Linked DNA regions of Elephas maximus indicus. The protein of the gene in region 2 purifies or fractionates together with the protein of the main gene of each other region. This does not show direct contact. Links are inferred from orthologs where the notes say so. Each region holds a gene or a part of one and is shown on either strand. Other genes may lie near its edges.

Region 1 (10,180 bases), on a different chromosome or scaffold from region 2:
TTGAGTGCTTACTATCAGTTAGGCAGCGATATAGACAGAAGGTATGAAATTACTTTATGTGGTTAAGTCCTGTTATTTGTGCCATTTTACAGAAAAGGAAAATGAGGCACAGGGAAACTAAGTGACTGGGCCTGGGTGAATGGCCCCAGTGCTCTTGAAGCCACTGGGTGTGTGGGCCACTGTCAGTGGGTCCCCACGCACCCCAATCCCCGGGGGGGGTATGGTGTCCCGCACCTGGCCAAACGAGCCCTTGCCAATGAGTGAGTCAATCTCATAGCGCTCCAGCCACCGCTCGCCACTACGCACGATGTAGTCATGGTTGTCATCGTCATAACCGTGGTTCAGGACCTTCTTCTCCTTCTTGGTACTTGAGTCTTGAGGCGGCGCCTGCTGGGCCCGCCGCTTCTTCTTCGCATAGTATACCTGCCCAGCCAGGCGACCAGATGACCAGTGAGCAACCGGAATCAGTGGCCAGGGCCCCCCGGTCCCCTGCTTGGGGCTCCCCACCTCTGCCCACCTCATTGATGTGCTTGTAGGTCTTGATGAGGTCCACAGAGAGTTTGCGCAGTGGGGCTGAGGTCGCGTCTCGGAAGGCCAGGGGCAGCCTCCGAGGCAGTAGCCGCACATCAGGCAATACCTACAGGGTGGGGTGTCAGGTGGGCACTGAGAACAGACAAAATCCTTTACCTCTGACCCCAAGGGGGAGAACCATATGGGCAACTGGCTCATCAGAACCCCCTAGTCAGGAATTTATTTGGTCATAGTCCGTCTCGCCCACTACAATATAAACTTGACAAGGGGAGAGACTTTGTCTTGTTCTTGCTATACCCCAGTGCTTTGAGCAGGGCCTGGCACACAGTGGATGCTCAATAGGGATTTGTGGAGTGAACGAATGGTTATTTACCCCTGACCTTTTACCCCGTAACTTTATTGCTTTCAGAGTCAATGGGAAAGATCATATGGGAAATTAGGCCTCTGTCCCCCAATCCTTCAGTCTGAGACTCTCCATCTAGATATCCCAGTCTGGGTCCCCCTCCCCCCATTTTGCTTTACCTTCACCCACTGGGGCTCCCCCAACACCTACCCCCCACTGAGCATCTGTACCTAGTTCTTTCACAAGGATCTTGAATCTGGGTCCTGCAGCCTAGACTTCCCACTCCATCCTGCTCAAGCTCTACATTCCAGAGCCTCAGCCACCTCTACCCTTGGAGGTCTTTATCCTGATGGTCCCCAAGCCCTTCAGTCTCAGCCCTCCTCCCCACCCACTCCCTCCAGATCTTTCACTCAGGACTTTTTTCCTTAGTGAATATTTGGTATTTACTACGTGCCAGACACTGTTCTTACCATCGCACACGCATTTCATTAACTTGTTTAATCCTCACAACAACCCTGTGAGACAGATATCATCATTATCGGCCCCATTTTACAGATGACAAAACTGAAGTGTACGGGACATAAGTAATTTAACTACAAAGTCAAGACATGGACTGAATTCTTCATACCTTAACTCTGCCGATGCCTCTTCTATTAACTTTCACTCCCAATGGGGCCCTGACACCCTAAGGAGACTGTCAGGCAATCATACTGTTTCTTTTGCCCTGAGACCTTTCTCTCCCCAGTATCCCCGACCCCAGGCAGGTAAGGAGCCAGCCAAACGCGTACCTGCGGGTGCTCCTGGGGCCCCGGGAAGCCAGAGAAGGGACCATGGCCCGGTGGGACGGCCATGGTGGGCTCAGAGGGCCGCAGGGGAGCGAGGCCTGGAGCGGGAGCCCGGCCGGGGGGCGCCTTCTCGCATCCTGCACCTCGGCTGCCACCGCCGCTGAGACCTGGGAGAAGGCAAGGAGGCAGGGGAACAACATGGAACAAGAGAATATGTGGGATAGTGGCAGGCAGGAAAGAGGTGGGCACAGACAGAAGGCAGGGACTCAAACGGAGGAGGAAAAGGGTACCACAGAACACAGGTGGCGATGAAGAGAAGAGACAGAAAGCAGTAGCAGACAGGTGGAAAGGGGTTACACAACAGAAGCCCTCAACAAATGACCAAGTAAGTGAATGACGTGGAACAAAGACAAGGGCATGCAAAAGGAACGGGGAGGAGCGATGCAAGAGCAGGGAGTGGTGGTGGGGGTGTATAGGCCACAACAGGGAAGGAGAACAAAAAGACATGGATAATGGAGGGGAGGAAAAGAGAAAAAAAAAAAAGAAACTAAAGACAGTATGGGGAGTAGGGTTTGTTCGTTCCATTTCTACTTGGGCCCTCCCCAGGGCCCCCTCCGCAAAATCTTGCCCCCTTATAATCTTCCCCAACCATCAGGATCTCATCCCATTATCACAGCAAGGTCCCTTCACTACAAGATCTACCGTTCCCAGTAGCTCCCCCAATCCAGAGAACTCTGAAGTCCACCCAAACCACACCAGAGTCCTCTGAGTTCCCCTAAATCACAGTAGTGTCCTCTGCAGGTCCCTCAAATCCACATCAGGGTCCTATGGAGACCTCCCAACCACACCAAGATTATCTGAGAAACTGTATCACAAAAGTCCTATCTCTGTGGCAGCCCGCCAGGGCACATCTTTCCCAGCAGACCCTCAGTACTTCATGCTGAGATCTGTTCCCCTTGTAGGCCTTCCCACATCAGGAAACACTCCTCCAGATAGTCTCCCTACACCGTATCCCAGTTCCTCCCACCACATCAGAACTCTTCCCCACATTGCTGCAAAGTCCCCCTCCCAATCAAGGCCCGCTCTCCTGAGGGGAACAAGGAGGAGGTGTCTCTTCCAGTGGCTTACGATGATCTTCCTTCTCTCCTCTATAATGAATCCTCCCTCTACCCAATGTTCCCATTGGAGCCCCATCTCCTGTCACCTCTTTCTATACTGGGGTCATCCCACAGCGATGCCCCTTCTTAGGAGACTCCCAAAGCTCAATTCCCCAAATACTGCAGGGTGTTCCAGGGGGTCCGACAAACCAAAGTCCCTCTCCCCAAGTCTAACCATGTCAGGTGTCCTCCTATCCCAGGCCTTGCCACTCCATGAACACACCCCGTCTCTTGAAGCTTCCCTCCCTAAAGGTTCCCCCTCCAAAACAACTTCTTTCCCGGGGCCCTCCAACCCCTACCCGCGTCAGGGCTGGTGCGCGGCCCACGGGGGGCTGGAGCGCGGTGGGGCCCCCAGTGAGGCGGGCGGACGGCCAGCATGGCGGCGGTGGCGGCAGTGAGGAGGCGGCCGCCTGTCCCTGGCCTGGGCGGCCCGGCAGGCCCCGCGGCGGGGAGGGCAAGCGGGACAGGCGGCCCGGTGGGTGACAACAGCAGCCGCCGCCAGGGGCGGGGAGAGGAGGGGACGAGGGTCAGCTCGGGGCACGCGGGGGAAGGGAAAGCAGGTGGATGGGGGGAAGGGCGGGTTAACCCTCGCAAGGCCGACCCCACCCCGGGCGGCCACCCGCCCCTGGGGACCCTGGCGTCCCGCCCCCCACCCTAGAGGCCCGCCCCGCCTGCAGAGACCCAGCGGGCGGGGCAAGACTGAGTTTGGCAGTCCGCACCCTGCCATGGCAACAACCGTACCATTGGCCACCGCTGCTACGAGCTCAACCAATCACAGCCCAGGGCAGTTGTTGCTAGGCGACGACGATGCGGCCGGCGGAGCTGAGCCCAAACAAAGGGCGGGAGCGGGGCCCAGCCACCCCTTCCCGACCTCCCTTCCAAGACTGCTCCCTCGGTTCAGCCCCTTCCAGGAATCCGACTATGAATAGCCAGGCTCGGCTGGCACACCAGCCCGATTCCCCCTCCCTTCCTCTCCTCCTCCCGCGTCCCTGTGCTCAGTCTCGAGGCGACGCGGGCAGGGCGGGTCCCGCCCTTCCCCCTCCCCGCCAGCTCGTGCCGCCCAGCCAGTCACTGCGTCGTTACCTGAGGGCGCGGGCAAGGGGACTCAAGTTGCTCGGGAAGCCCGAGCTCAGACCTGCCCACTGGCTGAAGGTACCCGTCGGACGCGGCGAGCCAGGGCCCCGATTACCCAGTAATGCAACCAGCAAAATGGCGACCACAACAAACCGGCCCCCCTCCAGACTCCGCCCCCACCCCCCCATCCGCTCCCCCTCACGTGACCAGCGCAGCCCTCCGCGCCTGCGCCCAGTGGGCACTACCCGCAGACATGCGCAGTGAGCCACCGACCCCACCTAACGCCGAATTCCGGGTTACGGCTGCGCACCAGGGCTCCCTGAGAGGGCAGCTAGAAATGGAGCATGCGCTGTGTGATCAGATGAGCATGCCCCCGCCCCCAACGAGGTGACCATGGGCGCATGCGCCAAGTTGTCTACAGCGGCAGCCACAGAGCGACCAGCAGCCAACTGAGGTGACGGATGAGTCTTTTTAATAGAAAAACACACGTGCAACAGCAACAACACTATCTCACAATGCAGACAGCACCGGGCTTCAGTTCTTCACTTTGGGGGGCGGCCTGTGAGAGGGAGAGAGAAAACGAGGGGTCATAGCCTGCCCCCGGAGCCCTGAGCTGCACGATCCGGTGGGTGACTGGGCCCTGCTCACCTGTACACACCCACGACCACAGCGTGGTCTCTTTCGTATGGCTCGAGGGTCAGCTGCTCCTGGGGCTTCATGTTCTCCTGCTGCATCTTCTTCACTTCAGAAGCAAACACGGCCTCTGCAGAGGCTGTGGAGTCAATGCAGTTGGCCTACAGGAGGAGACGGAATCGAGTCCGCCGCAGGACTGCGGGCTGGTTTCCCCTTTTTTGTGCTCTTTCAACCACAGGGACTTGTTTCCGATGGAAACGGGGTAAAATCAGGCCCCAAACAAAACCCCAGTATCATTTCTGACTGTTCTGCAGCAAAAAGATCACCGCCACTGAAAACCCCATGGAGTGCGTTCTACTCTGAAACACGTGGAGTCACCACGAGTCGGAGTCAATGGCAACCGGTCTGAATTTTGTGGTGTATGGCAGGGTTTTGGAAACGTGGGGAAAATTTCCGTTATATAACAAATTTAGGAAACCCCGGCAGCACAGTGGTTAAGAGCTACAGCTGCTAACCAAAAGGTTGGTGGTTCAAATCCACCAGGCACTCCTTGGAAACTTTATGGGGCAGTTCTACTCTGTCCTACAGGGTTGCTATGTAGTTTGTTTGAATTTGGACCCAAGGCTTTAAACAAAACCCTGTTTACCTAAAAGCCAGCTTTAAGTTTTATACCCCAGCTTTTTTCCTTCTTCCATTAAAAAAAGAGTAATAATACAGCTTTGAGAACAACACAAATACAGGAAAAGGGTAACAAATGGTGAGTCTAAGTAAAGGGTCCACAGCAGAGTTCTCTGTATTTCAGAATAAAAAGTTTTAAAAAATGCACCTAACATTTAGATTTGCCTAGTGTTTATTCAACGCCAGGCTCTGTCTGTACACTTCACAGATACTGATACATTTAATCCTGACGTCAGCCCTAAAACAGATAAGACTAACATCTCTGTTCTACACATGAACAAACAGAGGCACACAGAGGTGAATGACTTGCTCCAAGTCACACAGCATGGTGGGATTCAAACTCAGCAACCATGCCCTTGACCACTATACTCTATTACCTCTTAAAATACAAAGCTTTTAGTTTTACGGACTTTTTTTTATACTACGTGTTATTTCATGGGGAGTGGGAAGCCAGCATAGGAACAGAGTTTGGGAATGGACTGACTGGATTAGAGGGGAGGCAGGCCTCTTTGTTTTGACTGGCTGCTTGTCAGACACGGAAGACTCCTTGGGATGCTCCCACTCATCTTAGACTTCCACAAGACTCTCACCTTAATAGAAATCACAAAGTGTCCTCCGTTACGCAGGAAGGTGTGGGCATTCAGAGCCACAATCCGGGTCTGGTCAGGCTGGGCCACGTCAGCAAAGATCACATCCACCATTGCTAGGGAGAGAGGAATGGCAGTTATTAAATGTTGGGCCCACAGGGAGATCTTCCCATCCCCCCCTGGGGCCTATGCCCCATTGCCAGCAGGTACCTGGCAATTTCCCTGCCTCCAGTCTCACTCCCCTGCCACTGACTCCCCCTCCCCCCGCCCTAGTGCCCCCAAGGTGGGTCCAAAACCCACGGTCACATCACTTATTCTCTACTCTTGTAAACCATGGTTGCCACCTACTCTGTGACCAGCCCCAGGCTGGGCGTGGGGGGCACAGAGACGAGTTAGACCCTGGCACTGCCCTTGAAACGCTCCTGGGTCTGGGGCAGTAGGGGAGGTGGACACACAAGTCATCAAAAAGGCAAGTGAAGGTGAACACTGACAGGCAAGGGCGTCTGCAGCATTGTCAATGAAAAGTTGCAGGACAGGGGCATGGTATGGGTGTGTGGAAAAGGAAAAGAAAGAAGAACAAGGGAATGAAAAAGTAATGTTTTTAAACCAGTGTGATTTAAAACAAACAACAGCAACAGAAAAAACAACACTTAAAAAACTGAAAAGGTGGTGTAATGAAAACTGACTCTGAAGAATCAGGAAAAGCACGTACCCAATTGTTCTCATCAATGACCTCTTTTGAATTTTTTAAACGAAGTCAATATTCACACCAGGCCCCTCCGGGTCAGGTCCATGCCCAGCTGGTGTTTTATGGTTATGACCTCACCAGACAAGGAGGCCCCTGGAGGGCGCTTTTAGTCACAGGTGAGGGGCAGTATAAAAGCACCATGTTTATACACAAAGAGGGGCGGTATAAAGGTACCATGTTTTGGAAGGAGGTGCGAAGCACAAGGAGGGGCAGCTCAGAGAGAGGAGAGGCCAGACCCTGAAGCTGGGCCGCCACCTCTGCAATCTCACCCAGTTCCCTCACCCCTTGTCATTCCTGCGGACTCAAGAGGCCTGTCCGTCCACTCCATCTGAATCAGGGCTCAGATGATCTCTCCCAGAAAACTTGGCTCTTGAAGAGCCTGTCCTACCCGACCTGGGCCACTGCCAGAGCCCTCACCAATAAGCATGCGGTATTTGTGCGGGTGCCGAGCGTCCTCAATGACAGGGATTATGTTGGTCCTCTTCTTGGCCAGGTTGATGAGGTCACGTCCAGAACGGTGGGAAAACTCAACTGCATAGACCAGACCATCCTAGGACAAATCAAGTGATAACAAACGATACTAATTCTCATCTACGGAACTCCTACTTGGGACCCACGCGCTGCATGCAGCATCTCTTCAAATCCCCCAAAATCAAACCCTACCATTAAATGACTACTGTTATCGTGCCCATTTTATAGACAAGTAAACTGAGGTCCAGAGGCATGAAGTCAATGCTCAAGGGCTATTCAGCAAGTGGCCAAGCTCGACATTACACTGCCTGCAACCATGTGACTGAGCAGAGGCCATGAAGTGAGATGTACAGGGGCCTCTAGATGGAGCCTGTACCCACACACTGCAATGCAGCCCAATAGCGTCAGAATTCTTGTTCTATCAAGAGAAACTGGAGAAGCAGATTGGGGGGAGCATGAATTTTTAAAGAGACCAATCAATTCATCTGATTATCTACACTTCCAGCTCTGGGCCCCTTTTATTCTGGTTGCCCTGACTCCCACACCCCTTCCTTCAAGGCTAAGAACCCAGGAGTGTGGCTGAATGAGGCTTTGGTGGCCATCTAATCCAAGCAGCCATTTCTACCCACAGGCGCTGTCAGAGGGCAGGGCCTGGCTCCATGCACAGTGCGGGGAAGCGCCCATGCCTGACTCCACAATAGTGCCAACAGGAGGCAGCCTTTCCCTCTGCCCGCCTCACCACTTACCTGGCCTACGATGTCAGAGACGTGGGAGACAGTGGTGCCTGAGGCAGCTCCAAGGTAAAGCACCTTGGCCCCCGGCTTGATGTGGATCTGGTCCACACCACCCAGGATCGCTGCTGCCAGCTTTGAGCGGAAGGGGTTCCAGGCGCGGTACTCAATTTTGTCGTCTCCTTCCTGGACCAGGAGAGACGGGGATGGAAATCAGTGCTGGGCTCTTCCCTGAGGCCCCACGCCCCTTACCCTGGGGCCTTGAAAGCGACTGGGCGTTTAATGACTATGCAAGTGATGAATGTGGGTATGCAGCAGTGGCCATGACAGATGCAACTGTGGAGTTAACAACTCAGGGAGATGGGGTGGCAAGAGACGATAAACACAGAGATACCGAGATTGTCTCAGGTTGGTAAGGCCTGCAAAACCACTCAGCAAGCGCTTACTGTGCTGCGTGCCAGCCCCTGATCTAGGCACTGGGAATACAACAGTGAACACGACAAAGATCCCTGCTCTCAAAGAGTAAGTATACAAGGAGCTAACTAAATTAAAAAAAAAAACACCTGGCACAGTAAGATGGTGACAGGTGAAAAGGAGAGAGGACAAAGCCGGGAAGAAGACATGAAGTATAGGAAGTAGGGCAAGGGAAGGGGAAAACGAGAAAGGGGAGCCAAAGGTGCATTGTGCAGAAGGTGTCTGGGTCAGCCCTAAAGGCGATGAGGAGCCGGTCAGGCTATCTGGGGAAAAGCATTCCAGGGAGAGGGGAGGCAGGCGGGAAGCACTGAGGCAGGAGAGCGCCTGGCCATAAAGGAAATGGCAAGGGACACTAGGATCCGTCAGAAAGACAGGTGACTTGACCACAGTCGCGAATGATGAGCCGGTGCCAGCCTCGAGCAGAGCTGCCGGCGGGAGGGAATAGCATATCAGTGCAGCTGGAGGGCACTTGGTCAGGGACAGGGGGAGGAGATGAGAGACCAAGGGCTGTGGAGGGGAGCTAGAACACACAGGGCCACAGTAAGGACTTGGGACTATGACATGGTGGCAATCGTGAGTCACAGAAGGCATGTGAGGAGAGGCGTGTGAGGCCTGACTCACGTATTAGGAGTATTGCCTGGCTGTCAAGTGCAAGACACACGGCTATGGGGTGTGGTGCAGAAGCAGGGAGACCAGACAGCTGGCTGCACCAACAGCTGGGGCCCTGGTGCCTTGGACAGGGGCCCGCGTCTCACCGAAATTGAGACTCTCTTCTCTCCATAAACTGATTCTCCAGGGACCAGGTTCTTGGTGACCAGTGCATCTTCCTTTCCTCGGCAAATGAAGACACCTGGGTGTGGGGATCAGAACAAGGGTGAGGACTGGGACCCCACCACTCCGCCCCACCCCTCAGCTGCTTCCCTCCGTTCCTCACTCACCCTCATGCCGGTGAGGTTCCACCATCACATTCTTCCCTGACTGGTTTCCTCTTTTTCCTCCCCTACCACGACCCCGGTTGCCACCAGACTGGAACCCTCCTCCGCCTATAAAGGAGAGACGCAGTAAGAGAGAGAGGCCCCCGGTCTCTTCACTCCCCGCTCCCCAAGTACAGGGAAAGCCTCCTCCATCACACCAACCAATCTTACTCACCACCTCTTCCTCCTCCTCCTCCTCCTCCTCGACCACGGCCCCTGAAGCCTCCTCCTCGTCCACGGCCCCCACCAAAGCCGCCTCGGCCCCCGCGACCGCCACGGTCACCGCCAAAGCCGCCTCGGTCACCAAACCCCCCTCGGCCTCGGAAGCCGCCCCCTCGGGGACTGAAGCCTGTGGTGGAAAAAGAAGCAAGTGTCACTGATGAAGCCTGAAAGCTAAAGAATCCCAGACCTCGCCATTCCACTCAGGAGAGAAACTGGAGAAACACGTGCACGCGTGTCCAGAAATATCCACAGCAAAAGAAGAACCCAGACCGACCCATATGCTCATCGGGAGAATGGCTAAACAAAATGGGGACTATTCGTAATAAACAGTGAAAACGATCTACAGCTACACACAGCACCACAGATGAACCTTAGAATCGTGTCAAGTGAAAAAAACAAGTCCCAGAAAACCATATCCAACACGGTATCACTAACAACTAAAATGAACTTAAAACCATTGCCGTCAAGCGGATTTCGACTCACAGCCACGCCAGAGGAGAGAGGAGAATTGCCCCCACAGGGTTGCCAAGTTGTAAATCTTTATGGAAGCAGAATGCCACATCTTTCTCCTGAGGTGCAGCTGGTGGGTTTGAACGGCTGACCTTTTGGTTAGCAGCCAAGCACTTAACCACTGTGCCACCCAAAAGCTCATTGCCATCAAGTCGATTCCGACTCACAGCAACCCTACAGGACAGAGAACTGCTCCATATGGTTTCCAAGGAGCAGATGATGGATTCGAACTGCTGACCTTTTGGTTATAGCAGCCAAATGC
Region 2 (9,822 bases):
AGGAGAACTGCCCCATAGAGTTTCCAAGGAGCGACTGGTGGATTCAAACTGCCAACCTTTTGGTTAGTAGCCGTAGCTCACCATAGCTCTTAACCACTGTGCCATCAGGGCTCCAAGTACTACCAGTATCTTGCTTTTTATAGGTGAAGTTAACTCAAAACCACTTAGGAAAAAACCACATGCTGTCAAGTCAATTTTGACTCATGACAACCCCATGTGTGTCAGAGCAGAACTGTGCTCCATAGGGTTTTCAACAGCTGATTTTTCAGAAGATCACCAGGCCTTCCTTCCGAGGCATCCCTGACTGGACTTGAACCTCCAGCCAACCTTTAACTTAGCAGCTGAGCATGTTAACCATTTGCGCCAACTAGGGACTACAAAGTTAGCTTGCTAAGGTTAAACAGCCAGTAAGTAAGTGGCAATACCAGGATTTAAACCCTAGCAGTCTGGCTCTAGAACACATACTATTAACCATGTAATACATTCTAAGCTCCTAAGAATATTCAAGGGCATTCCGAAAACATCTTTCTACCTACTTCTTCTGGGGCTCCGTATCTCCCCTCCCCAACATCTTGTGCCCTTTATTTTAACCCATATAAACCAAAACCAAATCAAACCTGTTGCTATCGAGTTGATTCCCACTCATAGTGACCCTATAGGACAGAGCAGAACTGCCCCGTAGGGTTTCCAAGGAGTGGCTGGCGGATTCGAACTGCTTATCCTTTGGCTAGCAGCCAAGCTCTTAACCACTGCACCACCAGGGCTCCAAATATAGTGAAAATTATATTTTCATACCTCTATGATCCAACTACAAAATTATTTTCCACCCTTTCCAACTCCAATCAAAAGCCACCTCCTCAGAACTTCTATACCCATTCCCTACAAATTACACTCCTCTATGAGTCCACAGTGGCATAGTGGTTAAGTGCTATGGCCTGGGAACCACCTGCATTTTTTAACAAGCACTCTCAAGTGCTTCTGATACAGATGAACCATAGACCCATTGTGAAAAAAATGTTCTGACATTCACAGGCCATGTTTTCCCCAATTCAAAATTTCACACAACCGTAGAAACTGAGCCTACACAGGCAATTTATATTACATCCACTAAAACTAGAAAGAAAACTAGTATGACACACAATAGCTAACTTATATATCGTGGTATTGTTCTGAGTATTGGCAGAGCTGGTGGTGCAATGGTTAAAGCACTCAGCTGCAAACCAAAAGGTCTGCAATTCAAACTGACCAGCCGCTCTGTGGGAGAAAGATGTGGCACTCTGCTTCCATAAAGATTTATAGCCTTGGAAACCCTATGGGGCAGTTCTACTCTGTCCTATAGGTCTGCTATGAGTCAAAATTAACATGACAGCAGTGAGTTTGGTTTTGGTTCTGTGTATTTTTCAATTTTCTCTCATTCTCTAATCTTTATCATAATATAGATATTATTATCAACCATTTTACAGCTTGAGGTTTGCAGAACTACATGCAGTAGATCCTTCTCCTCTACAGTAAGGATTACTACATTTTATTGAAACTACAAACTTCCGGTGCTGTTGTCAGCTGCTACTGAGTCTACCCTGACTCATCACAACCCTATGCACAATGGGATCAATCTGTTGTGATACACAGGGTTTTCGCTGGCTGATTTTTTGGAAATAAATCTCCAGGTCTTTCTTCCTAGTCCATCTTAAGTCTACAAGTCTACAAGCTTGGCTGAAACCTGACGAGCATCATAGCAACACACAAGCCTCCACTCACAGATGGATGGTGGCTGTACTTAAAGTGCACTAGCCAGGAATCTAACCCAGGTCCCCCACATGGAAAGCAGGAGTTCTAACACTGAACCACTACTGCCCCACCCCACCCCCCACCCCCACAAACAGGCAGTAACCTTCCTTTAATCAAAAAGGGAGTCTGGTTTTTCCCTTTTTTCTCCTTCCAGATTTGGTCTAACAAAACGCAGCAAATGGTCTAATAGATTCTATGAAGACTTGGAATTTGAAAACACCTCATCCCACACGGCCTAGAATTTCACTAGGATGAAACAAGAATACATTCCTGGGAGGGAAACTATCGGACATTTACACTAATAACAGGCAGTATCCCTTTTCACCCGTAGTTGACAGTCCTGCACTAAAGGAGTATTTTTATTTTTCTGTATTTGCTTTTTTGAGCAGGATTAATTTTACAACACGAACACTCCATGGAATGACAAATCTGGAGGTGGGGAGCTTTGAGAAACATGAGGAGTGGGCACATGAGAAGCCTGGGATCACAGGAAATACAGCCCTCCTGGAGATCAGAGGGAAGGAATGCCATCCTCCATCCACCATCATTTCCAAGACTTAATTCAACCTGGCTCTCCTCAAGCTGCTGCTCTGTTTAGAATGTCAAATAGCTGAGACAGTAGCCAGATTCTGTTATCAGGCTGAGGTCTCCATCTCCTTCCTCCGCCTCGACTGCCCACTTCAGAAGTTCTTCTCTCCACCTGCCATGCTACGTTAGCTCCAGAAGGTCAAAGGCAAACTAAAGCAATAATGTTTTCACCAGATATCTCTAAACAGTTCCTTCAAAAAACTAAACACATGTGATTTTCGTGTGCTCTATATTTTTATATATATTTTTATACTTTTTTTCCTATATATTTTCAGGTTCTGTCTTAAACATCATGAAACTACTTCCTTGACATAACGTAAAAGATACAGACTTTGGAATTTCAACAAGCAGAGTTCAAACCTCAACCTCTCTAAAGACTGTTGTTAGGGTCAAAATGAAATCTTGTATATAAATCATTTAGCATATAGTAAGAGCTCAGTAGGTAACAGCTATCATGGTGTGTGTGTTGGGGGGGTGTGCTCTAGTACTTTTAACAATCAAAGTGGAAAAAAAGCATTTCGCATTCTCAAAAGACTTAAAATAGTATTCTTATGAGAAAAAACTACTGATCACTTTTCAGGAGCAATTCTCTTCAAAAAAGTATTCATTGTCTAAAATCTTTCATAAAATAAACTGTAAGAAAGACATACTACTCTCTCCATTTCCTTGCAGCCACCCTGTCTGTTTTGGTTAGAAAAGTACTTTACTGAATTTTCTGAAATTCTTCTGAATCTTCTGTGTGAAGGTTCTAATGCAAATTCTCCAGAAAGACAACGGTAGTGTACATTGGCAGTATTAATACACAACTAAAAACCACCCATTTCTTTAATCACTAGATTCTCAAAGCAAGGCAGCCAGGTGATAAAATTTTATCCCTTTTCACTTCTCATAGTTTGAATTTCTCCGCTCAGTTATCCTTCCTTATGAATGACTCCATCGGAATCCACATCTCTATTCTGGACTTTTCTCACTAAAGTTCCCGGTACAGAAAGAAAACAAACAAAACAGTTTTTAGATCCCTAAAATAGTAAAAGAGGGAGACAGACTCTGGAATTTGTTTTTGTTTTTTTAAGTAGATATTCAGATAAATGGTTTTAAATCCTAAACGCAAAACCAGTATGTCTGAAATACTCCCAGACGCTGAAACAAAACCCATAAACCATCCAAAGGAATCTTGCTTTTAACTTCCTTCTCACTTCTTGCTTCCCATTTTACCAAGTCTTAGGAAATGCTAAAACGCTGCCACCCTCAAGTCTCCTCACTGATCCAGATCTGCCCTCCTAAGATAATGTCCTTCGTCCCCCAGATCTGAAACTGTTCTGTGGAAGACAAATACCAACACGTAGCAGCAAACACGTAGTATGCTAACATGAACCATGTCACTAAAACAAAGTGACAAACCACTCCTAGTTTCACCCCAACTTGCGGAAGAGAAAAAGAAAAGTAGGCTAAGCGATAGTCAGTGGACAGCCAGGGCGGCCAGGAGCCCGGGTTTATAATTAACACGTATCAGCCCAAGCACAAGGTTAGGGCAGGCACTTCCACGCCCGAGGACCGAAGCGGGCCCGGCTAAGCCATGAATGAGACAGGCGCGGGGCGGCCGGGGCTGCGGCGGGGCCACAAACCCGGGCCCGGCCCCGCCCCCGGCCACACACCCCACCCGGCCCCGCCCCCGGCTGCCCGGGCTCCGCGGCAGCGCCGCAGTCCCGGCGCGGGATCCGCGAGCGCCCGGGACCCTTTCCCGCCGCGAGCCGCCCCCTCGCCGGCACGGACCTGCTTTGCAAACCGGGGCGCTCGGGCTTCTCCTCTCCGGGGAGCTTCGGCTCTGCTCCGGGGATCTCCTCCGGTGCCGGACGCGGGCTGGGGGTGGGGCCAGGCTCACCTCGCCCGTCCACAGGTGGGTGGGCGACGAACAGGGCGACGATACGGTGCCCAGCAGAGGCGGCGGCGGCGGCGGCCGTGGGGGGCTCCCGCGAGCCCCGGACGCGGTGCCGCGCGTGGGGCTGGTGCCCCGCGTGGACGTCGCGGACGCGCCCGTTTGCGTGGCCACCGTGGGGCTGGTGCGCGCGGCCGTGCTCCCGCCGCCCCGCGTGGGGCTTGTACTGCGCGAGGCGGTACGCGGGCCCCCGCCGCCGCCAGAGGGGCCGGAGGCGCCACCACAGCAGCCGCCGTTGTTGCCGCCGCCGCCGCCGCCGCCGCCGTTGTTCCGCGTGGGGCTGCCATGTTGCTGCTGCTGCTGCTTCAGCTGGAACGGAACCGTCGCCCTCATGGGCTGCAGACGACTCCCGGCTCCCCCGACCGTGGCGACCGCACTGCCCCCGAGGGAGCCGGCCGGCGTGGGGGACCCATTGCGCCTCACCCGCTGGGACATGGCTCCCCCTCCCTGGTGACTGGACGAGACGGGGGTTTTGTTGTTGTTGTGTTGCAGGGGGAGGATTCTCGAGGCCGGAGGAAAGGCCCACACGACGGGGTGACGACAACGGATTCCGGGGTGCTGGGGGAGCGCTCGGGCCGCGGCCGGCAGCAACGAGGTGGTGCAGCAGCCGCCGTCGCCGCTCCTCCTCATCAACAATAGTGTCTCCTCCGCTGCCCCCGCCCCCCGCGGCCGCCCATTGGCGCAGCGTCAGCCGCGCTCGAGCCTCTCCACCGCGCCCATTGGCTGCGACCGACTCGGGTCCCGGGCCCCCGGGGCCTTAGAGAGCCTGGGTTTGTGAGGAGACCGTCTGCTCTTTAAAGAGAAAGAGACCCCCCCTCTGGAGGGAAGAGGGAGGCGGAGGAAATGGGCCGTGTGTATGTGTAGTGCGCGCGGGTGTCTGTGTGTATCTGTGTGTACACGTGAGTGTACGCGTACGCGCGCGCCCGGCCACGCACGCCTTTGTCTTTCCCTTTCCACTGGGGGGAGCCCTGGGGAGTCAGATCCTGGGATGTTGTCACAGGGAATCTTCAGAACCAGAGCGGTCCCCAGAGATAATGTGAAGTCTTTCCCCCATAACGTTTCCTTAAAAAAAAAAATTACCACGGTATTAATTGGCAGGGGCCATGTATACATGTCTCTTTCTGGCTTTTTGTCTTGATCTTTTTGTTCTGCCCTAATTCCATCAATGTGTGGACAGGGCTCAAAAGGAGATGAAATTTAATCTTACTAGTATCTGAAGGAGCTCTGGTGGCACAGTGGTTAAAGCGCTGGCTGCTAACGGAAAGGTCGGTGGCTCAAACCCACCAGCCAGCCATTCAGCTGGAGAAAAATGTGGTAGTCTACTTCCATAAATATTTACAGCCTTGGAAACCCTATGGGGCATTTCTACTCTGTCCTGTAGATAGGGTCACTATGAATCTGGATCTATTCCGTGGCAGTACGTTCTTTACTAGTATTTTACACATACACACACACCCTTTTTTCTCTCTCTCTTTTTATAAAGAGGCAAATCTTAGAAAGATTAATATTGCTGATTGGAATGTGGCTTTAGATTGTATCAATGGAGTCCAGATACCAGATATTATTTCTACCTTCCTGTATCTCAAATATTCAAGAATTTATTTTAATCAGCTGCTTCACAGTTCCCTGATACCTTGGAAAGATATCTGCTCCCTTACAAGTTTGTAAAGTGCTAGTATGCAAAGGGCCTTATTTGATTCTCGAAATCATTATTTGAGATAGAACTGGGCCAGCCAACCACATTTTTGTCTAGTGGAGGAAATGGGTCTTTGTGGTAAGGATGAGGACTCAGGAAGGCAGGCAGTGATACAAGTTCTAAAATGACCTAAGGGATATCTCATTAAGACAAAAAAATAGTGGAACTGCACTCTTCACACACCTCTCTGGTTCCACATTCCCTGTCTATGCCCTCTTTTCCCTTTTTATTAGATCTACATTCTACTCAGATTTCACCTTGTAAAAATGTGGGAGTGGAGGGCACACTATGACTCATCCTGGACCTGAAATCTTGGTGGATCCTTATGCACAGTGGTGGAAAGGCTTTGAAGCCCTAGAGAGGAGATTCAGATCACAGATCCAGCACTTGCTCTGTGACCTTTGGTAGGTCACTAGCCAGCTTTCTTTTTTTTTTTTTTTAATAATTTTTATTGTGCTTTAAGTGAAAGTTTACAAATCAAGTCAGTCTCTCACACAAAAACCCATATACACCTTGCTACACACTCCCAATTACTCTCCCCCTAATGAGACAGCCTGCTCTCTCCCTCCACTCTCTTTTTGTGTCCTTTTCGCCAGCTTCTAACCCCCTCCACCCTCTCATCTCCCCTCCAGGCAGGAGATGCCAACGTAGTCTCAAGTGTCCACCTGATCCAAGAAGCTCACTCTTCACCAGCATCCCTCTAAACCCATTGTCCAGTCCAATCCATGTCTGAAGAGTTGGCTTTGGGAATGGTTCCTGTCCTGGGCCAACAGAAGGTCTAGGGGCCATGACCACCGGGGTCCTTCCAGTCTCAGACCATTAAGTCTGGTCTTATGAAAATTTGGGGTCTGCATCCCACTGCTCTCCTGCTCCCTCAGGGGTTCTCTGTTGTGTTCCCTGTCAGGGCAGTCATCGGTTGTAGCCGGACACCATCTAGTTCTTCTGGTCTCAGGATGATGTAGTCGCTGGATCGTGGGGCCCTTTCTGTCTCTTGAGCTCATAATCACCTTGTGTCCTTAGTGTTCTTCATTCTCCTTTGATCCAGGTGGATTGAGACCAATTGATGCATCTTATATGGCTGCTTGCTAACGTTTAAGACCCCAGATGCCACTCTTCAAAGTGGGATGCAGAATGTTTTGTTAATAGATTTTATTATGCCAATTGACTTAGATGTCCCCTGAAACCATGATCCCCAGACCCCTGCCCCTGCTACACTAGCCAGCTTTTTTATCTATAAAATGCAGTTAAACAATACCATCTCCTTCATACAGTTGTTGTGATTATTAACCAGGGTTTAAATGAGAATGTGGTGTGAAGAAGGTGCTCAACACTTCCAGTCTCCATGTGATTCAGAGGTCCATATTGCTGCTTACCACACATTACCCTTTCTCCTCCCCTCTCCTTCACTGCAGAGAGACCCCAAAACACTCACCCCAGGAACCTGCCTTAAGTGGCTGATGCTCTGGATAGTCTTAACATCACTACCAGTCCCTCCAACCTGGAATGAAGACAAAAACAGCTTCTCAGTAGACAGGAAACTGCCAACAAGATCCATGCAGAATGTAAAATGGTACAACTACTGTGGAAAATAGTATGTCGCTTCCTTAAAAAGCTAGAAATAAAAGTACCATATGATCTAGCAGTCCCACAACATCATGGATTGAATTGTATCCCCCCAAAAATATGTGTATCGGTATGGCTAGGCCATGATTCCCAGTATTGTACGATCGTTCGCCATTTTGTCATCTGATGTGATTTTCCTATGTGTTGTAAATCCCATCTCTGTGACGTAGATAAAATGGGATTAGTGGCAGTTATGTTAATGTTGCAGGGCTCAATCTACGAGATTAGATTGTGTTTTAAGCCAAACTTTTTGGATATGAAAGAAGCAAGCAGAGAGACAAGGGGACCTCATACCACCAAGAAAGCAGAGCCAGGAGCATGCATCCTTTGGACCTGGGGTCCCTGCACTAAAAAGCTCCTAGACGAGGAGTAGATTGATGACGAGGACCTTCCTCCAGAGCCAACAGAGAAGAGAAAGCTTTCCCCTGGAGCTGATGCCCTGAATTTAGACTTGTAACCTACTAGACTGTGAGAGAATAAATTTCTTTGTTGACGCTATCCACTCGTGGTATTTCTGTTGTAGCAGCACTAGCTAGCTAAGACAAAATTTGGTACCAGGAATGGGGTTCTGCTCTAGCAGATACCTACAATGTGGAAGCAGTTTTGAAAGTCTGAATGGGTAGAGGCTGGAAGAATTTTAAGATTGCCTGAAGAGACTGTTGGTGGAATTATGGACATCAAAGACAATTCTGGTGAGGACTCAGAAGGAAGTAAAGAAAGCTGTTACTCTGGAGATGGCATGGATGGCAAGAAGCAGCAGCAGAGGACTGGCAGCAGCAGAGGACCAGCAGCAGCAGAGACATAGCAGTGGTATAACCAGGAGACTAGCAGGAGATGGCACTGGAGCCAACCCACAGAGCAAGAGAGCTGAGTACCTTTGGCAGGAAGCTTCCTGGCAGAATGGGTGCCTCCAGACATGTATTGGTGGAACTAGCCTTGCCAATCCCTGGAGCAAGAGAGCTGAGTGCCTTACAGCTGAAGTTTACTGGCAGAGTGGGATGCCTCTAGGCACTTATCAGTGGAGCCACAGAGCTTTGGAACACTTGCCCCAGCAGGGCAGACATGACCAGAGAGGCCCGAAGGGCTGAGAGGCCAAGAAACCAGGAAACAAGCTGAAGAGACAAAGAACACAGGAAGCTGAGCTGCCTCAGTCTCAAAGGGTAGGGCCATGACCTCTGGGGTCTTAAAGGGTGGAGTCGCCACTCAGATGGACTCAGAGAATGGGCTCCTCATACCACCAAGAAAGCAGCACCAGGAGCAGAGTGCATTCTTTGGACCAAGTTTCCTGTGTGGAGAAGCTCCTAGACCAAGGGAAAATTGATGACCAGGACCTTCCTCCAGAACTGACAAAGAGAGAAAGCCTTCCCCTAGAACTGGCGCCCTGAATTTGGACTTCTATCCTCCTAGACTGTGAGAGAATAAATTTCTCTTTGTTAAAACCATCCACTTGTGGTATTTCTGTTATAACAGCACTAGGTGACCAAGACACACTTCTAGGTATATATCCTAGAGGTATAAGAGCCATGACAAGAATAGATATATGCAGCACACCCATGTTCATTGCAGCATTATTCACAATACCAAAAACGTGGAAACAACCTAAATGCCCATCAAAGGATGAATGTGTAAAAAAAAAAAAAAAAACCTGTGGTACGTAAACACAATGGAATACTAAGCAACGATAAAGAATAATGATAAATCTGCAAAACATCTCACAACATGGATGAATCTGGAGGACATTATGCTGAGTGAAACAGGTCAATCACAAAAGGACAAATTGTATGAGACCACTATCATAAAAAGTTCAAAAAATCTACATACAGGAAGTAACATTCTTTGATGGTTACCAGGGATGGAAGGGGGAGAGAGAGAACACCACCAGCTAGATAGTAGACACATGTTAACTTTGATGAAGAGGAAAGCAATATACAGTATGGAGGAAGTCAACACAACATGACCAAGGCAAAGATAGACACTGAGAGGTACAAAAGAATATAAGGCCACTATGCTAAATACTACAACATACACAACTGTGTAACAATAGTAATAATAATTTATGAGTGGATACGTGGGCAGATATGTATGCTGAATAGGTATGAGAGGGCATATGCGAGTACACTCACATGCATACATGGACTTAAGTTGTGGATATTTCAACATACATATTCGTATGTACTGCATGTATAGTCAT
Region 3 (9,757 bases), on a different chromosome or scaffold from region 2:
TTAAACAGGCATTTTCATTATGGGAGCTCAAAACAATTCATCACTAAGACTGAAAACACATTTAAAACTACTATTTCAAACAAAAAAAAGTATCTACTTCATCAAAACACTTACTTTTAACAGAATACAAACTTGAAAATCACCTTCTAGAAGAAGGATGCATAACTCTGATAGAAAAACCAACTGCCAAGAAGCCAAATTAGCAAAGAGTACAACTATAAGGAATCACAGCATTTGAGATGTTCAACATACTGTAAGTTATCTTTCTGATAAACCACTTTAACTAGTTATGGAACTCTGAAAGCAGATTTTCAAAGTAAAAGCAAAAACTTTTTTAAAAACATTTAGCTAATTTATACAATCCAATATTTCTAAATCATTTTGTTTTCATATACCCAAAAAGAAAACTAAGGTCCCTCGTAAACACTAGATTAGGAAACAAAACTTCTCTTCAATTACCAGTATGAACCTTAAATTATCTTAGTCATGTGCAGTCAATATTTCACGTTTACATACCCAAGGCTAAACTTTACAACTCTAGCTTAAAACTATAGCATTGACATAAGACAAGATTTCAAAAGAAGAATCCTTTATTTGGGGGCACCTGAGGAGAAGTTTCAGGTAATTTAAATTACTTTGATGGTTTTTCCAAGTATTTAAATGCCAATTTTCACTCCAAAATAATTTTAATCCAAAATTATTCAAGTCTTGTGTTAAGAATTACTATAATTTCTCTAGCCACCACAAAACTGCCCCCAACAGCCATGATAAACCAAAAAAAACACACCCAGTGCCGTGGAGTCGATTCTGACTCATTGTGACCCTAGAGGACAGAGCAGAACTGCCCCACAGAGTTTCGAAGGAGCACCTGGCGGATTCAAACTGCTGACCCTTGGGTTAGCAGCCATAGCACTTAACCACTACGCCACCAGGGTTTCCACAGTCATGATAACACATGGGAAAAAAAATAAAGAGCATAACTACTATGTACACATAAGGTGCTATTACACAAACCATGCCATTCATTTTGATAGGGCAAGCTGTTAGTATTAAGTTTCAAGTGACCATGTTTCATAGTTTCAAGTAATACCATTACTTCTACATACAAAATTTACAAGTGTGTATGGAGATAAAACCACTAAAGCACTCCTCAACAGGAAAGAACCTTAGATCACAGTTTAAATTACTGATAAGGCATACAACAAAATTACAAGACAGGTAAAATTTCTGGAGTGAGGAGCAAAGTTCCTTATGAAGACTGTTTCTGGAAGAGTTTGGGTTCTGCTGGGTTTGGATGGTTAGGGCTTCTCTTGGGGTGAGGGAATTGGGCTGAGTGTATATGCAGGAGATGGGGAAAGCTCTTTTAAGAGAAAAGCTAAGGGCAAAGCAAAGAAAAAGTGATACACATCGTATCACAAATACCAAGGGAGTCACAAATTACCAAGCCCTCAGGCACTGGGTTATCTTCTACCAGTCTTATTTTTAAAGTCATAAAAGAGGCATGGAAACCCTGGTGGCATAGTGGTTAAGAGCTATGTCTGCTAACCAAAAAAAAGGTCAGCAGTTCGAATGCCCCAGCCGCTTCTTGGAAACCATATGGGGCAGTTCTACTCTGTCCTATAGGACCGCTAGGAGTTGGAACTGAATCGACAGCAGTGGGATTTTTTTTTTTTTTTTTTGGTTTTTATACAAAAGCAATTCCTTTCTCACCCACAGTAAATTTACTTCTATCCAAATTTTCTTCCCACAACTAGATACTTGCCAAACATAAGCATGCATGTGAAAACACCTATAGGCAGTCTCAATTTCTAAACTATTTCTTAAAAAAAAAAAAAAAAAATGGTTTTCAATTACTACCCAAGATTCAATGCAAATGAGCATTTTTCTTTCTTGGTGTGGTTACTAAACAAAATGAGTGCCAATAGTCATTTTAGACATGTTCATAACAAGTTATTCCAATTTCACTTTTCCAGATATTCATAGAACTATAAAAATCCATGGAAATTCTTCAAATACAATTTGTTCTACTTACCACTCCCCAGTTTACCCCATATCTATAAGTCATAAATACAATGAACTCACAATAAAACCAAGGAACAGGCTTCAGGCAGTATTATCGAGACTAAAAAAATTCTAACCAAGGGTCTTTTTTACTATCCACACTTCCAAACAAGACACTGCACTAAAATGGAATATTTCCACTTATTTTGAACGACAGTGCACCTAAAAGACTGGATTACTTGTTAATTTTTAAATGCACAGTACAATAACTTTATTAAATTTCTAACAGGTCCCATCGAAATGTCTTCAAAATACCTTAAGAAACCATCTTATTCCTAAATTTCAAAATCCTAAACAATTTAACAATAACAGAGATCTCACCAGATCACTTAGCCCACCCCCACCCCTACCATTCAAGTCTATTCCTTCAAATCTAAAATCTTTTTTAAACACCACCAGAAATAAGAGTATGCCTTCGCCTTACAGACACAAGGGAAGACCCTTCTAGAATAATTTTTGAGCTCATGCCTCCCTGAGGTAAACAGGAACTTTTTTATGCCCAGGTTTACAACAGAACACAGTGTAGACACTGACAAGAGTCCTAAGCTCTCCAGCTAGGTTTGAAGTCTAAATAATTTGGACAGCTACCGTAAACACTACTGTTACTTCAAGGCAGATCCTTCAAAAGTACTGGGATACATTAAAAAGCTTAACTATAATCAAGCAAATGTTTTTCTTAACTGCTGTTTCTTTAAAACTATCTTCAATTTAAAACCCTAGTACATGAAACATTAATCCTAGTCTCACATTTAGTCTATCTGAAAATATTCTTTTAAAGTAATGGAATAACCAAATGAGAAATTTAAGAAAACAAAACTTAAAAATAATTTTACTTATTAAAGTACCCAAAATCAAAGTACTAATTATATTCATTTTTAGACACTTTAGATGTGTAAAATGTCACAGAAAAAATCCAAAATATTTATTTAAATATAAAATATCACCAAAAATAACTTCACACAAAACTTTATGACTCATCAATACTTAAATGATGCCTATAATTATCAAGAACACCACACACCTAAGAATACTTTTTAATTCCTTCCATTCTAAAACTAATTTTCTTGAAAAAAAAACTGACAAGTTTCATCAAGAGGACCTCATGTCAACCTTTCCCTTCCACTTCCACAAACCACAAAATCAATCCCATTCTAAACACTATAAAGAGAGACAATCTCTACGTTAGAATCCTGAGTCATTACACACAAATGGTTCCAAAATTTGCCAGTATTCATAATGATTTACAATAACACGGCGGTTAAGAGCACAGGCTCGCTACAGACTCCATGCTCCCGCTGTTTGACCTTGGACGTGTCACTGCCCTTCTGTCGGCTCAGTTTCCTCATCTGTAAAATGGGCAGCAGTTCCTCCTGGCCGGATCAGCGAGGTAATAACATGTAAAGCCCAGAGAGAGGCACCTGGCACTACTCGTCCTCATCTTCAACTCCGTGTAAGAATAACGTTATAACGTATCTTTCCTGACAACTCGGGCAAAACTCAATAATCAAGTCGTGCTGGCACTCAAGCGCTATACGGACATCACAGGGTTCCTATAACCTCCGGGTGGATGAAAACCACAGCCAAGAAGTCAGAGGCACTCACTCGCTAATTTTTCTATTTTTTAACTATTTCAGAATATGGAGGAGCCTTTTGCTAAGTGTGGAGATAAATATTCAGCAGAAATGTGAGTTAGAGTCTATAAATAGCTAAGTGAAGTTATGTCGTAAAACACAGGTATCAATTATAATTCACGTCTTCCCAGTCACCAACTCCTCCAGCTGCTGAATAGGGCATTACTGCATCTCGAGTGGCCGGATTACTTGCAGTCACTGCACAACTTCAGAACACGCCGAGTCCCACTCCCTCCAGCACCGACCCCAACGGGTTGTGAGGGATCGGGCTCCCGACGTTCCCGGCGCCCAACCTCGGCTCCGCCGTCCTCGCCTCGCCCAGCACCAGCCCCATTTTCTTAACCCAGGCATTGTCCTTGCTAAGAACCCCGGCGGTTCCCACACTGGTGGGGACCAAGAGGAGGGACGAGGGAGGAGCTGGGGGAAGAGGATGAGGAGGAAGAGGAGGAGGAGGAAGACAACCTCCTCCCCTCGGCTCGGGCGACCAGTAAAGGTCTGGCGCTTTCTCCGGCCCCTAAGGCCCCGGCTCCCGAGAGGCCGCGGCCCCCTCCTCCCGCCCTCCGCAACTTTCCCTGCACTCGCACCCGCCTCTCCTCCAAAACCCGGCCTTGCAGCCTCCCTCCCCGGCGGCCGGGCCTGGGCCCGCGGCGCCTCCTCCTAAAATGGCAGGTCCCTCCCTCCGCCCGGCCGGCCTCGGCGCGAGCCCGGCTACAGGCCGCGGGGGGAGCCGAGCGCCGGACCGGGCGGGGCCGCGGCCGGGCCGGACACTCACCGGGACGATGGCGGGGTGCTCGCGCCGCTCCCTCCGGTGAGTCTCAGCCTCGGGCTCCCGCCGCTGCGCTCCCGCCGCGGCCTCCGCAGCCAGCGCCACCCCGGCCGCCTCTCTCCGCCCCCGGCTCCTCGCCCGCGCCGCAGTCTGCTCAGTCTCTCGCCGGCTCTCGGTTCCAGCGGCGCCCGGGGCCGGGGAGGCGACAGCCCCCTCCCCGGCAAATACCGCAGTCCCCGGACCCCGACTCCCGGCGGCGGGGCCGCACGGCCCGGCCCGGCGAGGAGGGCGGCGGCGGCGGCGAGGCCGGGCACCTAGTCGCGGCCGCTCCCGGCTGCTTCTTCCCGAAGAGGATTTTGTAAATCTCACAAAATGGCGCGCGCTCCAAACCTGCGCAGCGAGAAGCGCCGGGGCCCGAGCGGCGGCGGCGGCAGCGGCGGCTTCTCCGCCAGGAGCGCCCGAACCGCCCGCCCCCGAGTGCCCGCACAGACAGACACTCACACACACACTCGCACACACACGCACGAACACTCGTCCTCACACACGCTCACTCACACACTCTCACACTCACACCGGTCCCGCCCGCTCGCCGGCGGCGGCAGCGGCACCAACAGCAGCAGCAGGAACAGCAGCAGCAGAAGCGGCGGCGGCGGCGGCGGCGGCACCCTCACCCCCCGCTCGGGGTGTCCGCTCCCCGCGCCCGACTTGGGCCACGATCGGCAGCAGCAACGGCAGCAGTGTCCCCGGATCCCCCCGCCGCTGTTGCCGCCGCCACCCCCGCCTCACTCCAATGGGGCTTTTTATTATTATTCGGGCGGGAAGCGAAAGGGTTTAAAAAAAAACCAACCAACAAAATGGCGGCGGACCGATCCGGTCGCTATAGCAACTGTCAATCAAAACGCAAAACCCCGGCTGACGTGCTGACGTCCTCCTCCCGCCCCCCGTCCCCGAGCCGGCGGGCGGGGCTTGTTGCTCGGGTAACGGCAGATTCCGTTCCCTCCTTTCCCTCTCCCTCTCCGGCCCCAACCAACCACCCAGCCCCCTCAGGTCACGTGAAGGATAAATTCGGAGCTCGGGCCCGCTACGAGTGTCAGAGGAGGGCGCGTGATTCGCTCGGGGGAGGGAGGAAGAAGAGGGGGGACGGACGGGCTGAGGGAGGAAAGGGGGGCGAGGCGGCGGCCAGCCTGTGCGCGAGCGCCCGCCGCCTCCCGACCCCCGCGCCCGCCGCGCCCGCGCCGACTGCGGCCCTGAGAGCGCGCGCCCTCCCGCTCCGCGCCACCGCCCCCGGAGCCCCGCGCTTCCGCGTCGTGCGCCCGCGGCCCCGCCCGCGCCGGGGGGAGGGGCGCCGATGGGGGAGGGGACCCAGAAAGCCCCCCCGCGGGCGCCCGTCCACGGGGCTCTCACCGCGGTCCGGACGAGGTGTTCGCCTTTATTCCCGGGGCGCGCGGCGGCCGCGTGGGAGCAGCCCGGCGCACACGTCCATGGGTTTAAAGTGTTCTTTGAAGGGCTCGCGTCCCCCCCTCGCCGGAAAATGCCCACGGAGGCCGCGGTGGGGGCGGGGTGGAGGCCGCCTCCGCACTTCAGACATCTCAGGAATTCCGACGCTTCCCCGGAATCAGGGATGTCCCTGCGGCTGACACCTTGATTAAATCATGCCGCTCAGATTTTTAAGGAACCAATACCAACGTTCAAGAATTATGGACGTAGCTGTCATAAAAACTTTTCTAGGCAGTGCACGCTCCGCCCATGCTTCCCCATCTATTTCGAGCCTTCTTTTTTACCCCTCCCCGCTTCTGTGGGTACAGCCTGGCTTCTCCATGGAAATGCCCCTCAGATTAATCCTTTTGTGCTATTACTATGTCCTTGTCGTTCGACTCCTTTTTTTTTTTTTTTTTAATGTACCTTCTCAATTTCCAGATACTTAATTTGCCCACTTACCTTGACAATCAGAACAGTTATTACTATTTTGGCTTGCATTCAGGTTTTGTTTTGCCTGACTAAATATTTCTAGGTGTGCTCCCCAGGCATTAAAACCCAAGCTATGTCATGCTGGCTACTTTGTAATTAGGAGACAGCCACTGGCTAAAAATTGTATTTTGTACCAACCGTAATATAAGGGCCTTTAATGTTCAGCTGAGAAGAGTTTATATATTATTTTGTACCAAAAGTCGCTAATATACTGATTTATTTCTAAGTTCGGTTTTGCCATCTTATGATGGTGATCATATTCGTTTTTTCTTATAGGAGCCTTCAGCTGTTCACAAGTACGGTAGCAACATATAAACAGTATTAGGTGTAAAAAAAAGTATTGTAATAAATACTGATAGCTATCTTATGTATGTGACTCAAGGAAAGATGTTTGCTTAAAAAGATTTGCAACAAATGTTCTGTTTCTACAGTTAGTAGAACATTGACAAAACCAAAAAAAAAAACAAACAAACCAATTGATGCGCTAAGGTAATCATTGAAGTTAGTACAGGCCCTGAAAGAAATCAAATTAAACGTAAAAGAAATTAGGCAAAAAGTATTCAGGCATGTGTATGTTAAGGGTGGTGGGATAATTAGGAAGAAAATGGGCACAGAGGAGTGCAACCTAAAGAGTGTAATCAATGTCGTTGAGTTGTACAGGTAGAAACTTGAATTGGTGAATGTTTTATTGTGTATATTTTCACCACATTAAATAGTGTGTATATTCAGGCAAAAATAGCTTACTTCAGTTTGATTCTTCAGGGTATCAAAAAACTACAAAAGTTCTTCTGGATTGCTGAGTTTTTTCAAAGTTACCCTGGTACTGTAATTAACATCCACATTGTACTTAGTTGTTTTGAAGGAAGAGGTAGTGGCCAAGAGTGTCCTTATACAGATGAGCAATCACTACCTTGGTTTTACCCAAGATCAAATTTCCACTTATACAGCCAACTTCCTCCTCCTTTTCTTGTCCCTGCTCCGTCCCCTTTACATGGTTATGCTTCTGTCTAATCACTTAGGCATTTGTAACCCTTAACACTAAAAAAAAAAAAATTGGCAACAAGTGAATTCCGATTCACAGAGATTCTATGGGACACAACAGAACTGCCCCCACAGTGTTTCCAAAACTGTAAATCTTTACAGAAACAGACTGCCACATCTTTCTCCTGTAGAGCAGCTGGTGAGTTCAAACCACCAACCTTTCAGTTAGGATCTGAGTACTTAACCACTATATTAAATGAGCCAAAATTAATTGCTATGTCAAAGAGTAAAATCTGAGAGTTTGTGAAGTAAAAGCAAGGAGTTTATTGAGGCAAGATACAATTTGCAAATTGGGCAGCACTTCGTTCAGAGAACAAGGCGCTCCATCTTTCTGGGGACAAAATTGAGCTTTTATACACAAAGTTAAAACCAAAAACCAAACCCATTGTCATCAAGTCGTTGTCCCTATAATCCCATAAACATTTCAAAAACAGCTCTTCATATCAGTTAATCTAATCTCAGCCTAAGAGACAATTTTCGAAAAGCATTCTTTCCAAGGACATTGAATTTGTGTCACATGTTTCCTGTAACATTCTAAGCACATTTATTACTTTCCTTTCTGTCTCCCTCCCCTGTTTACTCAGAGTAATCTGGATAAACCCTTTGTTGAGATCCAAGTCCTCAGCCATTTTGGCCTGGCTGAGAGCCTCTGTTTGATTTTAGAAGCTACTTATCATCCCCCTCTTTAGTAATCTGGACAAACCTTTTATTGAGATCTGAGTCCTCAGCCATTTTGGCCTAGCTGAGAGCCTCTGTTTGATTTTAGAAGCTACTTATCATTCCCCCCTTTTGATCAAGAATTTATAGAATTTCTTAAATCACAAAGACCATTATGACAGCCCTTTCTTGTGCATGGTCTTTAAATTGTGCTGTAATATAGATGGCTGCTTTCAAGATTTTAAGGCCCCAGATGCTGCTATGCTTTTACTGAGTAGCCAGGCACCATCTAGTATCTGCACTATGCCATTGCTTAGTCACTCTCCTCCTGAACTGATGGTAAGGGGAGCTTGGAGTAGAAAGGCCAAATTTTTTAGAGGAATATCTCAGCATTACGCAAGCTGACAAACTGCGAAGGCACAAGCTCAAAGTTCCAGAAACTTGAACCTCCTCAATATATATATACTTTGCATAACTTTGGGTCTGGCGGTGTGACTGCAAAAGTTAGATATATAATTCATGATGCATTTAACCAGTCTTATAATTAACATAATGATCAGAAGAATTAGTCAAGTTTCTAATGATGAGCATAACGAAGAACCAATGCCATTGGGTAACCAACTAAAGATATCAAAAAAGGAGAAGAAATTACTACAAAGAGAAATATAAAACTTAAGTGGACTTTCATGTTGAATAAAATTACTAAGGAATAAGGCCACAAGTATGGAGTAATGCTAGCAGCATAAGGATAGCTACAATTATAAAACAAAGGCCACAAAGTTGAGCAAGATGCATGGAATCTTGTTCTGTGATCTTAGGATTAGCTGCCTACCTTGGATGTCCTCTACTTCTGGCCTCCAGAGTGTCTCAAGGTGATTTTTAGCTTTAGAGGGCTAGCTGGTCTACAGAGGCAGCATGGACTTTTTTCAGTTGTGATAGATGGATTCAGGGTTTGACTCCTAGTTTTGGGGGCACACGAGTTGGTGAGGAAGTCTAGGTATGGTCCCTTTCAATGGGGTTCTAATGGGTCCTTGATTAGTACCTTTTCTAATAAATGTGTGTATGTATATATATATATATGTATGTATATGCATATATACATATATATAGTCTCCCAGAGTGTTACGGATTGAATTATGTACCCCCCAAAAAATGTGTGTAAACTTGGCTACACCATGATTCCCAGTATTGTGTGGTTGTCCTTCATTTTGTGACCTTATCCAATTGTCCTATGTGTCAAAAATCCTAACTTCTATCATGTTAATGAGGCAGGATTAGAGGATGTTGTGTTAATGAGGCAGGACACAATCTACAGGATTAGGTTGTATCTTGAGTCAATCTCTTTTGAGATATAAAAGAGAGAAGCAGAGAGGAGATGAACCTCATTATTACCAATCAAGAAGAGCCAAGAGTGGAGCACATCCTTTGGACATGAGGTCACTACACTGAGAAGCTCCTAGACCCAGGACTAGATTAATGACAAAGACCTTCCCCCAGAGCTGACAAAGGCAGAAAGCCTTCCTCTGGAGCTGGCACACTGAATTCAGACTTCTAGCCTCTGAAACTATGAGAGAATAAATTTCTGTTTGTTGAAGCCATCAGTATTTCTGTTATAGCAGCATTAGATAACTAA

Evidence for each region.
Region 1: the proteins of FAM117B (region 2) and DYRK1B purify together in Homo sapiens (affinity purification with mass spectrometry; 3 studies listed by BioGRID and IntAct, counting the BioPlex papers as one, with this or other methods). This does not show direct contact. The link is inferred for Elephas maximus indicus from reciprocal best matches to the Homo sapiens genes FAM117B and DYRK1B.
Region 3: the proteins of FAM117B (region 2) and DYRK1A purify together in Homo sapiens (affinity purification with mass spectrometry; 8 studies listed by BioGRID and IntAct, counting the BioPlex papers as one, with this or other methods). This does not show direct contact. The link is inferred for Elephas maximus indicus from reciprocal best matches to the Homo sapiens genes FAM117B and DYRK1A.

What each region holds. Positions count from the first base shown.
Region 1 is NC_064829.1:111,686,700-111,696,879, reverse strand, and holds the start of DYRK1B (dual specificity tyrosine-phosphorylation-regulated kinase 1B), read right to left. Parts: upstream 4,047-10,180; 5' UTR 3,195-4,046; coding exon 3,116-3,194; intron 1,827-3,115; coding exon 1,663-1,826; intron 638-1,662; coding exon 518-637; intron 424-517; coding exon 235-423; intron 1-234. Other genes in the region: FBL (rRNA 2'-O-methyltransferase fibrillarin), read right to left, coding at 4,425-4,449, 4,539-4,684, 5,792-5,904, 6,954-7,086, 7,754-7,924, 8,968-9,062, 9,151-9,255, 9,362-9,535.
Region 2 is NC_064824.1:101,402,355-101,412,176, reverse strand, and holds the start of FAM117B (protein FAM117B), read right to left. Parts: upstream 4,967-9,822; 5' UTR 4,943-4,966; coding exon 4,150-4,942; intron 1-4,149.
Region 3 is NC_064820.1:219,102,714-219,112,470, reverse strand, and holds the start of DYRK1A (dual specificity tyrosine-phosphorylation-regulated kinase 1A), read right to left. Parts: upstream 4,556-9,757; 5' UTR 4,465-4,555; intron 148-4,464; exon of another isoform or gene 1-147. UniProt on the Homo sapiens protein: Dual-specificity kinase which possesses both serine/threonine and tyrosine kinase activities. Exhibits a substrate preference for proline at position P+1 and arginine at position P-3.